Linked DNA regions of Drosophila melanogaster. Changing the gene in region 1 together with any one later gene gives a genetic interaction. Each region holds a gene or a part of one and is shown in the gene's direction. Other genes may lie near its edges. The genes, in order: fwd, Vap33 and dgo.

Region 1 (3,755 bases):
ATGAACATAATCGAAATTGCGTAGGACAGTATTGCCGCGACTGATTGTATCATTTTTTTTTTTTATCAATCCACAGAAGCATTGGGACCGACGTTCAGCGCATGGGTAATGTTCTGACAAATCGCCTTCCTCCAATGAAACACTCCCCATATTTGTTTACTGGATGTAGAGTGTTTTTAAAATAATACACAATAAACGATGAACTACACTTTTTAGACTTGGGTGTGGCGACAGCCACCAAAAATGCAGCAGGAATGACATGAAATCAACCGAACCAACGAATCCTCCCATTTCGTTGGGTTCGTGTGTTCCAAAAATACTTTCAGGGCGCATATGGTTTTATTTCGATTCCCCCTGGACCAGTTCGCACTCTCTTAGTCGCTGTCGATTAACCCAGTGGTAGAAGCCACATGCCAGATGCCACATGAGCATGGGGCAGGATCACCCATACGCTTAACAACTTCTGCTCACTAATTCTGCAGTTGAGGGGTGCTCAGAATAGGCCCAAATTTTATTTCCGAACATGTGTCTCCAGATTTTTCTCAGTACTTGTAAAGGGTCATTTCCAAGAGGTGCTTATGGAATATGTTTCTCTAAAATCCGCATGGAAACCCCGGAAAGGATTCGACGAATGCCGTTTTCTCGGATCATCATAGTTTAGTGTCACAGAATTTGTACATTAATAGAAATATCCGATGTCCACAGAGACAAAACCATATGGGTGTAACAAAAATAGTTGTCTTGCAGTGCACTTATTGATTGAGATAAATAGATAAATCCCAACAGAAATGGTGGACGCAAGTGAAATGAGATGGAAAACCAAACGCGAGCTGTTCGTCCACATAGCAGCCAAGCATTTTGAGCGGACGATCATATCCAAGAGCCAATTCAAGTCAATCAAAAAAATGTGGCTTGCGCCAGGGGAAAGGGACCGATCGCAGTGGCCTGCAGCACAATTTACATTGCAACGACCAATTTAGAGATTGTTGAACTCACGCAGAACCAGGCTGCGGCTGTCCGGTCGGAAAATTTAATCTACGCCTTGAGATCTCAACATGTGGGCATGTGTGCTATTAAATTACTATGTCTGAAGGCAGCTTATCATGCATTTTCTAATTTGGGACGCTCAGACAATTGCGCAATTTAGCGAGGAATGCTTCTAAGCGTCACTTAAAAACAAATTATTTTATTCATGCCCTCACCAAATGCAACGAAACCAGAGCAGAATTGGGTGATAGGTTTCACACCGGCAATATGGAATGCAAGCGCTACAAATGAGATATTTTCGGCAAGAAGACTCACTCGTCACCGATTATACTAGGATGCAGATACGTTCGAAAACCTCTTTGTTTCGGTTAGTCATTCAAAAGTCTCGAATCGGTTAGTATACCCGCTTACGCTACGAGTAACGGGAATACCGATTCACTCAACGAGTAAATGGTATATTTATTGAGCCGAAAAGGTCGTTGCACAGTGTGACCGCACAGCCCAGCAGAAAAACGCGCTAGCGATTACTCGAGTCTCCGTCGAGTTCCCACAAACTCGCCGAGCAACGCGTCATTCGAAGAAAAAAGTCGATTGCTTTGGACGTGTAGACGTCCGGTCGTCGCGTAATTTGTTTTTGTAGTAGAATACAAAGGAAGCAGAAGCGGATTACAGATAATTTTGAAGTGCTGCAGCTGTGCATAATAAGGTGGTAAACACAGTCCAAAGGAGTACGCGCCGCTTCATTCGTGCACCCTTGTGTATCGACGATGTATACACACTATGGGCGCGTCTCTTTTTGTTCCTTCGCGCGTGTGTGTGTGTGTGTCTGACATCGCCCTGCCTGCGTGTGTGTCTGTGTCTCGCCCCTCGGTCGCAGCGAGCAGAGCAGCCCTCTCCTCTTGTCCCATAAAGTCAATGTACAACTTGTTTATATTTAAGATTTGAGATCGACCCGATACTGGCAAGGAAGCACGCAGAATGCTGGTGGAATATTGAAACAAGTGTCGTCGAATTGTGATTTCTCGTCGAGTGAATTTTCGCACGCACACAACGCCAGCATTGCTCGCAAACACACGCACACAAGCGAAACGAGATTTTGCAAGTCGCGTACGTGCTGGTAGTGGTGCCCGTTGTAGTTGTAACCGTGCCTGTGTTGGTGTGGTGTTAGTGCTTGTGCAACTTAAAAATTCAATTGTTTATTGCTGGGCAAAACTGGTACCGTGTACCGCGTACCTGGAAAACAACATTTAAAGCGAACGCCAGGCGAATCGAGAGTTCCGAGCAAGTGGGCAACAATAAGGTGTCGCTGCGGCGCCTGCTCATTTCCACGGTGATAATAATCGGCATAGGGTTCCGACGCGAAAGCCACAAGTGAAAGTGGAATGCTCTGCCTATTCGCGTTAGTTGGCATAGTCTTCAATACCCAGCGAATTACATCTCTCCGACTGGATATGAAGATATTGTGAGTATTTCCCTCTGGAATCAATGAAATGAAATGGTGTGCCTAGTCTGTGATGATAAGGCAGCTATCACCACCACGTTCATATCCGGATGCGAGCCCGCCCTTGTTGATTGTTTTTAGTTTCTGGTGCTCCCGGGCACAGTATCGGCGAAGTGCGGGTAAAAGAATGCTCGGGCAGGGGGAACACGGAAACCTGACCTTTCATTTAAATGTCTTGGTTTATCTTTAGCTTCCTGCTGCGGAATGCATTTAGCCTTTCGAACAGGAGTGTTTTGATCTCTGCTTCTTTTTGGTCGGTTTATTGACTTTCTGTAAAGACTTTTGCCTAGTTCGGCAATGAAGTGCACTCAAGTGCACCTATCGATTTCGAGACTAAGCTGCCTTTAACATGGGGCTACGGAGGTCTCGAACGGGGTTGAGTCGTTGAACCCCTCGCAGAACAGTGTTTACCACGCATGGTAGTTCGTGGCCACGCAGAGTGCGATTACCAAAGTGTGAACAGGAAGGCATACGGAAATGAAGAGCGAAGCTCAAAGGGGAGCCCGATCTCCTGCCCCGTACTGCCCTCCATAAGCCAGGCTTAGCAAGGCTTGACTTCGATATGGGGCTTTGCGAATCGCACACCTAAGTTACTTCTCGCCCAGGTGGAAAGACGCTGGAGAGTCTTTCTCCGGGAATAGCTTCAATGCGGACCGGACCGACTTTTGAAACGAGCGGGAGATAGTAATTAAACTGTAATTACTCTTTTGAGTGCCGATAACTTTGACATAAGAGTTGCAACTGCCGCCTGTTGAGTCGCTAGACGCTTGCCAAATAGTTAAGTAACTGGTGAGCGGGGGGTGCGAGTGGAAACATCCGAAACGGGAATTTTTAAAGCAAAAGGCAACGAGTTTGGATTGGTTTCCGATCACTAATCATGCCAAAAGCGCGAAGTCAGGTTCGTCAGCGCAGGCCAAACTGAAAACTAGTTGTGGTTGAAGTCGCTATTTTTGTTTCTCAACTTGCTTTCGTGGCCGCTTTGTTTGCGTAGCGAACGGAAGCTAAAAATTATAAATTATTTATTGGCACACAAAGACGACTGGTCGAATTGTATCGCCGATGGCACATTTTCCGTCATCCAGATTCCGATCGTGGCCTGCGATGTAAGATAAACCCGAGCAGTTGCATACATTTTCTCAAATCATCCATACTTTTTTATTTTGGTAAAAAAAAATATATATTTATATATATATAAATACATTTAGCTGCAGTGCTTGCCTCGCTTTTACCGACTGAAAACAAAGGACAATGTAAGAAGATATGAATA
Region 2 (3,755 bases), on another chromosome or scaffold:
TAATCAATTGGATTATAATAAGCGCTTCCCGATAACCAAATTTCTAGTACTGTGCTTTGAGAACGCAAGACAGACCTGGATTGATTTCTCCCACTTGGGCGTGACGCATACTCGCTTCTCGAAGCTATTCTGGCACATAGCTCAGTCTTGTCCCAAGCATGCTGCTTTTCATATTTCCGCCTGTGCCGATAACATCTTGGTGAACGAGCAACTACTTCAAAAGCCGTATGCCTTGCAGTTTACACTCTACCTATATGGCCACCGACAGATCCTCAACGGTCTCTACACGTCAGCGCGACAACTGTGCGTTAGTTTGAAAGACGGACGGTGTCCCTACGGAGAGGATGAGCTTAGGCAGGCGCAAAATAGGTTCCTAGACGCGTGTGCCTACGGTTTGGCCAAGTTTATAGAGCCCATGAACTTGCCCAGCTTGCAGTTAATCTTGAAACTGCTCAAGCAGATTAGTCTGGGTGAAAGCAATCTAATCACCCGAGGCACTGCAGAGTTAAATGCACTCGAAAAGGAGCACCCGAAATTGGAGAACGGAGACGATGCACCAGCTGTCAAGGTGGCCAAGCACTACACATATCTGAATGCCAGCTTGCCAGAGTGGCGTTTGAAACACTGGAAGCTGATCTCGCATGTCATGAAAACCATTGATGCCCTACGCTGGGACTTGGCCACCTTTGAAGATTTCCGGGTGGATAATTTAGAACTGGCGGTGTGGTATTGGCAGGACGGTCTGTCTCATCTGACATTCCTAGGCACTGGTGCGCTCTTATAAATGTAAGTCCAAGACGAAAGCCTACTAATTATTGCTCTTTCACAGAATGCCGCCAGAGGATCTTGAACCAAGTGAACAGTTTAAAGCACAAGGGCTTTTGGCTCATCTACCTTAAAGAAGACACCTTAAAGGACACACGCTCCTTTCTCAAATTGCTAACTCAGTCCAGTGCACAGGAGGCTAACGATCTCTTCAAAAAGCTCCTTAAAAAAAGGGCCGATTGTGCTGTTATGGGCGATCTTAGCGATGCAGTGGTCAAGGTGAACAGCGAGTCCGCTTTCATGGCCTTTAGATTCCTATTTCGAGAATATTTGATCGCCTTCCGGAGCCACGCCAAACACAATAAGACCATCACGAAGCGCCAGCATTGGGATCATTTGATGGCCGTTGTGGCCAAGGCTCCATTCTCCATTCGCAACGAGATTATGAAGCTAGCTAGTAAAGCCTTCGCTGTGCGATTCGGCATAAATATCCAGGAACAGCAGGCGGCCAAGTGTTAAGGAGATGCTGTTAGAAGTGTAATTTTCTTAAGCCAAATCGAAACTCCGCCGCTTGTCCAACACTTTAATTCTTAGGCAGTCAGATCTCTATATGACTAAAAACATATATAATATTCATAACGCTAGGATTGAACATCAGAATAATTTGATATCAGATTATTTTACAACTTTGTATGTCCTTTAAAAGGACGACTGTATGCACATAACAAATGTACCACTACCATGCAAATTTTTTGTCTTACTAAAAATACTTTGGCAAGCAAGTGAAGTTATTCAGCTGAAAATTAATAAAATTTTGCATGTTCTTTTTTTTCGTATTATTATGTATTATATATATAATATACAAAACGCTATGATTGAACATCAGAATAATTTGATATCAGGTTATTTTACAACTTTGTGTGTCCTTAAGGCCGACTATATTTACATAAAATATGTAATACTACCATCAAATACAAATTTGTGTTCTATTAAATAAATGCTTTGGCAAGCTTAAAATTATTGTAATTTTGCATGTTCTTATTTTTATTCGTATTTTTATGTATTACTTCGACTGCTTTGCTTCCTGTTGCAAAATTGTAACTTAAAACTAGGAAAATTTATTTTAATACATTTTTAAATTTCATGTACTCGTTATGTTATAAATTTAACTAATTTATATTCTGTCAAAAGCTGAATGGCATTATTCAGGGAAAGGAAAATTTTGGTGCAAATTGTTATTAATAACATTTTCAAATTACCTAAATAAAAAAAAATAGAAAAAATATCTTGTCTTAAAAAACACTATATATATTTTACAAGGTAATTTAACGACCAATGCTTGACAAGTATCGAAAAGTCGCTAAACTAAAAATATCGATACCCGATGCATCGATATTTTTTTCACATCACTAGCTGACAGAATATATGGCTTTTTTACATTTTGCGTTTTCAACTGAAGTTTGCGAAGAAACCGAAGCGTGGTAAACCACTGAAATCGAAAATATCGACAGAAAAGCGACCTAAAGTCGGTGAAGAAGTCGCACGTTGATCGTTGTGTTTTTTTCCCGAAATTTTCTGCAAAAAGCCCGTGCGTGCGTGAGTTTCTCTGGCTCTTGCTTTTTTTTTGTCCATGCGTGTGTGTGTGGTCGCATAAATTTACCGATATTTCGCCTGTGAGAGCGAAACGAACGAAAAACGAAAGAAAAAAAGAGAGACGAGTAAAGTAAAACGAAACAGGCATAAAAACAGCAGCAGTTTTCTTGATATATTTGGCTAAAAAACGCAAACGTAAGCGAAAAATTTGAAATCCCTCTTTTAATTTAGTTGTGTGCCTGTGTCTCGTATCTATGCGTGCGTCTGCATTTTAATATAATTTTGTGTGCATTTTCTTAACAGCAAACAGCCAGCAAGAACAACAAATAGCTGGGCAAAAACAGGACGCACAAAAAATAAAATTAAAACGATAAGAGGCGAAAAGCGGAGAGAGTGAAATTCTCGGCAGCAACAACGACAAGAACAACACCAGGAGCAGCAGCAACAACAACAACAAAAGCCAGCCGCCACAATGAGCAAATCACTCTTTGATCTTCCGTTGACCATTGAACCAGAACATGAGTTGCGTTTTGTGGGTAAGTTTATTTTACATTATTTTCGCGTTTTTGCGGAAAGGTCGCTGCATATCGACCAAAAAAGCCGATTCACCTCCCATTTCTTGCAAAGAGCAAACTGCAAGTTTCACTTTTTCTCTCTCTCACGCGCACATTTAATCTCCCTCCCTCTACGCTTTCTATTGCCATCTCGCTCGATTGGCTATCAATAATTTCCGTTGTTTTTGTTCTTCCTTTACATACGACACCTTTTATTGTTGTTCTTTTCGGGGTCTACGTGTATCATCGCTCTGCTTCTTTCCGTTTTTTTTCTTTTTTTTTTTTTTGCTTCAGCTCTTTAATGTATTTTATTTTTTGATGCCGGCAGCTGGCGTCGCTCTCTTTCTCACTTGCACTCGCCATCCCTCTCCCTCTTGCTCACTCGTTTCGCGTTTTTGGCTAGCATTATATTTTTATACGCAAAAACTTGTCATGGGCCATTTTAATTTTTTCTTGTCTTTTGGCTCCTTGAATTTTGGCCAAAAAGCAACAGCAGCAGTGACAAAAACAATGCAAAGAGCTCGCACAGTGGGTGCGACAAGTGGCACGGTTGTCATCGCATTGTTATTGAACTCCTGTTGCCAAGCTGCATTTTCCAGTGCATAAACATTTAATTTTTTTCGCGAAATTTTATCACAGTCTCAATTGCAGAACGAAATGTCTACTTAAATGACCAATCATTGTTGATTGCGATCTAGAATAATACACCAATAACCATTCACCATTTGTATTTTGTCTTATTGAAAAAAATTGAGTTAACTTTTCAAGTATTTTGCTATCGCTTCCATTGTGCGCAAATATTTTAATATCTGTGTATGTGTGAGTGAGCCTTAGCCCCATTCT
Region 3 (3,755 bases), on another chromosome or scaffold:
TTCATCATCACGGTCAGGAACTTGATGATCACCTTGGAGCAGGGACGCAGCAGCACCTGCCGCTTGCCACGCTTCTCGGCGTTGTTTATGCACTTCAGGGCATCGGCCAATACGTTCATACGCACCATAGCTGGATTTGTTTGCCAAAACTGTTTTACACGACCGTCACGCAAACGTGAAAAAGGGAAAAAACCTTTACTTGAAAACTTCCGTAAGTACTTCTCTTAGATGTAGTTCAAAACTAATTAATGAAAATGTCAAATTACTTATGAAGCGAGTTGGCAGCTCCGTGTCCAAGAGCAAACACTTATTTTTAAACATATCGATATAATGCAGCAGTTTAGTGCGCGGGAGAAGTATTTGGTGTCCAACACCTTAAATTGTTGGCCCGTGATGCTGCAGGGTCATTCCGTACTGATCGATCTGCACAACGAGACCTCTGTGGCCGGAATCATCGATGTAGCGGATGGACACATGACCTGCGAGCTCACCCATGCAGTTTTCATCGATCGCAATGGTGGTCAGCACCCCTTTGATCACTTTATGGTGCGGAATCGAATGATACGGCAGATCCACATACCTTCGTACTTGGATGCCGAGCAGGAACTTCGAAGCGCAATGGAACGGGGAGTCCTGCGAAGAAAGCGAGTGGAAACCAAGGGCGGAAAGCGGACATTCAAGCAAAAACGAGCGGAAGTGCGACACAAGGAAACATTGCAAATGATCTCACAGCAAAAAAAGAATAAGGAAACCTAAACTATTAATATATGCGTACTTGTTATATTTACCAAAAATACATTACATACATACAACTACATTTATAGTAATAAACCTATGAAAAGCAAAACAAATTAGCCCAATCAATTATACACAAAACATAGTCTCTAGCACGTTTATTTATTCCAAGAAATTCAAACGTATACAAACTGAATATCTTATATTCCCTTAATCAAAACTCTACTTAGCGGCCTGCTGCTTCAACTGCTCCTGGTACATGTAGTGCAGCTCCATGCAGTCGGTGTTGGAGATGTTTACCCAGCCGTCCTCCTTAATGTGATACACGCGAATGATACCACCGGAGTAGGCATCCCTGAAGGTGGCATGGTAGATGGCGCGACGTCCCAGCTCCTGGGCCTCCTTGTCCTCCAGGTCCCAATGATAGCCAGAGTCCAGGACACCGTAGGCGTACAGCGATCCACTACCAACAGAGAACAAATTGCCAGGCGTGCGAGATCCCTCGGAGTCCACATAGTAGAGGCCTGGACCACGCTTATCGTAACCGGCCAGCATCATGCCCATGCTCAGACCCATTCCCTTGTATTCGTGGGCAATGTTGGCCATTATCTTGCTGGCGGCGGCCACCGAGATGCGTTCCTTGTTTCGAAGCTCGTGAAGGCGGCATTCCTTCGAAAGGACCCTGTCCCAGTAAACGCAATCGGCTGCGCCACCGGCCAAGGTGCCCAGCATGAACTGATTGATCTCCACGATCTTCTTCATCGACTGGGAGCCAATGTACGATCCACCCGTGGCACGGGAATCGACTGCCAGGAGAACGCCGCCCTTGAACTTGAAGCCCAACGTTGTGGTGCCGTGATCGAAGTTGATTTTGACGCCGGTCTTGTCGCCATTGGCCTGGATCTGATTAAGGTTGTGCAGGGGCTGAGGAAATTGTCAAATTTTTTAGTAAATTTCCCAAGAAGATCAGCTAATTAACTACATACGTTCTCGAATGGCGGAGCAGCCAGTGTGTAGGGATTGGCCAGATTGCACATAAGCCCTTTTTGCTCTTCCTCCACATCCGCCGATGACCAGGCATTGGGCCGCATGTACGGAGCATTCGATATCTTGCAGATTTCAGCTAAAGCCATTCTTAAAGCTCCTTAAAAAACAATTGGAAACGTTGAATGCGAAATGCCGATGACAAACAAAATTCGTTGCCTACTTGTAGAGTGACCGTACTTCTGTTGGAGCAATAATGCAGACTATCGGCTTCACCGTTAGCTGTCGCAGGTACGGCAACCCAGCTCGAAACCTGTTGCCAATTTTGCCTGTGATTGGCTTTCTTTTAGTCTCTTTTTAGGCCTGGCTTGAAGCCAAATTAACTCTGGGCGTTCCATCAATCCATCAATGGCCAAATACTGCAAAGTCGGGTACTGAACAATAGTCGAAAGTAAACATGTGTAAATACGTGAGAGTGGCGAATTGCAATGCGTAAATTGCGGTCCAAAGACGGGATTTAAAATTAGTGAAAAGTAAGTCGGGAATCGAGAAAACCTAGGCGCACTTTAAACCTGGTTTTCAGGTCTAGAAATTTACTGTAATAGTGTTGAACATTTAAGAAACCATACATGTTTTATCAATGTGTTATAATGAAAGACATTTAATCTACCCTCAAAAAGGTTGTATTTCAAATTACGAGTCCTTTATTTGATCGCTTTTGGTAACTCCCACTTCTATTTGTAATGACAATTACTACGTGGTACGCCATTACGTGAGGCACACATACATGCGCATACACGGCTAGAAAATGTGCGATCGAAGATCAGATTCATTTGATCCCAGGTCAAGTTAAGCTCTTTCGTCGTCAACAAGGTTATATCAAAGAATACCATCTTTCATATGATTTTCGACATATAAACGATTCTAACGGTAATTACGGTACTTTAAGTAAGATTTTTCATTTATTAAAGACAAAATGTAGTTCTAATATAAATAATTTTTTTAATTTTATCTGGTTTTGATAAAGTGTTACTTAAAAAGTTATAATTGCAACACATCATGATAAATGAATGAAATTATAATTTAACAAATTTGATAAATAATGAATATTTTCGCAGACAATGCAGCATGGATCCTCCCGCATTCCGAAACAGGAAGCTCTCCCGAATGCGATATCCGGGGTAAGTAAGGGCACTTGCCTGAACCAACAAATCTTACACCGATGTAACTTCTTTTTCTGATTTAAGCCCGACTCCAGCAATTGGACTTCGCTGCACGAGGCGGTAGCCGCCGGAGATGATCGCCGGGTGGAGGGTCTCCTGTTCAGCAATGCTGATCGACTGGCCAGGGAATCCGTGCAGGGGAATACCCCGCTCCATGAGGCCGCCAGTCGGGGGTTCAGTCGCTGCGTGAAATTGATCTGCACGCCCCCCACGCCACCCGCTTCCTCGGGGGTGGGAAAAGCAGCAAAGGGACAGAAGGACAAAGACAAGGATAAGAACAAGGGCAGAGTGAAGGTGGCCCACCAGACCATCGAAGCCCTACACAATAGCGCCCTGGGTATTGCCAACAACGAAGGGTTGTCCGCCCTGCACTTGGCCGCTCAAAATGGTCACAATCAGAGCTCTAGGGAGCTACTGCTGGCCGGCGCCGATCCCGATGTCCGGAATAATGTAAGTGTTGGATCATATCAGTGATAACCATGTTTAACATGTTTAACAATTTCAGTATGGAGATACTCCGCTGCACACCGCCTGCAGATATGGACATGCAGGAGTCTCCCGGATCCTGCTCTCCGCCCTTTGCGATCCGAATAAAACAAATCTGAACGGCGACACCGCTTTGCACATCACCTGTGCCATGGGTCGCAGGAAGCTGACAAGGATTCTCCTAGAGGCAGATGCTCGGCTGGGCATTAAAAACGCACAAGGCGACTGCCCCATGCACATAGCGATCAGGAAGAACTACCGTGAAATCATCGAGATCCTGAACACGCCGAAGAAGATACGGAATCGCAAGGAGAAACCCAAGGAGGG

What was found.
Region 2: of fwd (region 1) and Vap33, changing one suppresses a phenotype caused by changing the other (phenotypic suppression), as found in Drosophila melanogaster (one study listed by BioGRID).
Region 3: of fwd (region 1) and dgo, changing one enhances a phenotype caused by changing the other (phenotypic enhancement), as found in Drosophila melanogaster (one study listed by BioGRID).

What each region holds. Positions count from the first base shown.
Region 1 is NT_037436.4:317,685-321,439, reverse strand, and holds the start of fwd (four wheel drive), read left to right. Parts: upstream 1-1,555; 5' UTR 1,556-2,449; intron 2,450-3,650; exon of another isoform or gene 3,651-3,720; intron 3,721-3,740; exon of another isoform or gene 3,741-3,755.
Region 2 is NC_004354.4:3,946,820-3,950,574, forward strand, and holds the start of Vap33 (VAMP-associated protein 33kDa), read left to right. Parts: upstream 1-2,155; 5' UTR 2,156-2,553; intron 2,554-2,661; 5' UTR 2,662-2,830; coding exon 2,831-2,894; intron 2,895-3,755. Other genes in the region: Gem4c (gemin 4c), read left to right, coding at 1-770, 830-1,284.
Region 3 is NT_033778.4:10,818,186-10,821,940, reverse strand, and holds the start of dgo (diego), read left to right. Parts: upstream 1-2,056; 5' UTR 2,057-2,649; intron 2,650-2,837; 5' UTR 2,838-2,840; coding exon 2,841-2,900; intron 2,901-2,966; coding exon 2,967-3,392; intron 3,393-3,447; coding exon 3,448-3,755. Other genes in the region: RpS15Ab (ribosomal protein S15Ab), read right to left, coding at 1-128; Lsm10, read left to right, coding at 331-756; Prosbeta5 (proteasome beta5 subunit), read right to left, coding at 958-1,659, 1,722-1,868.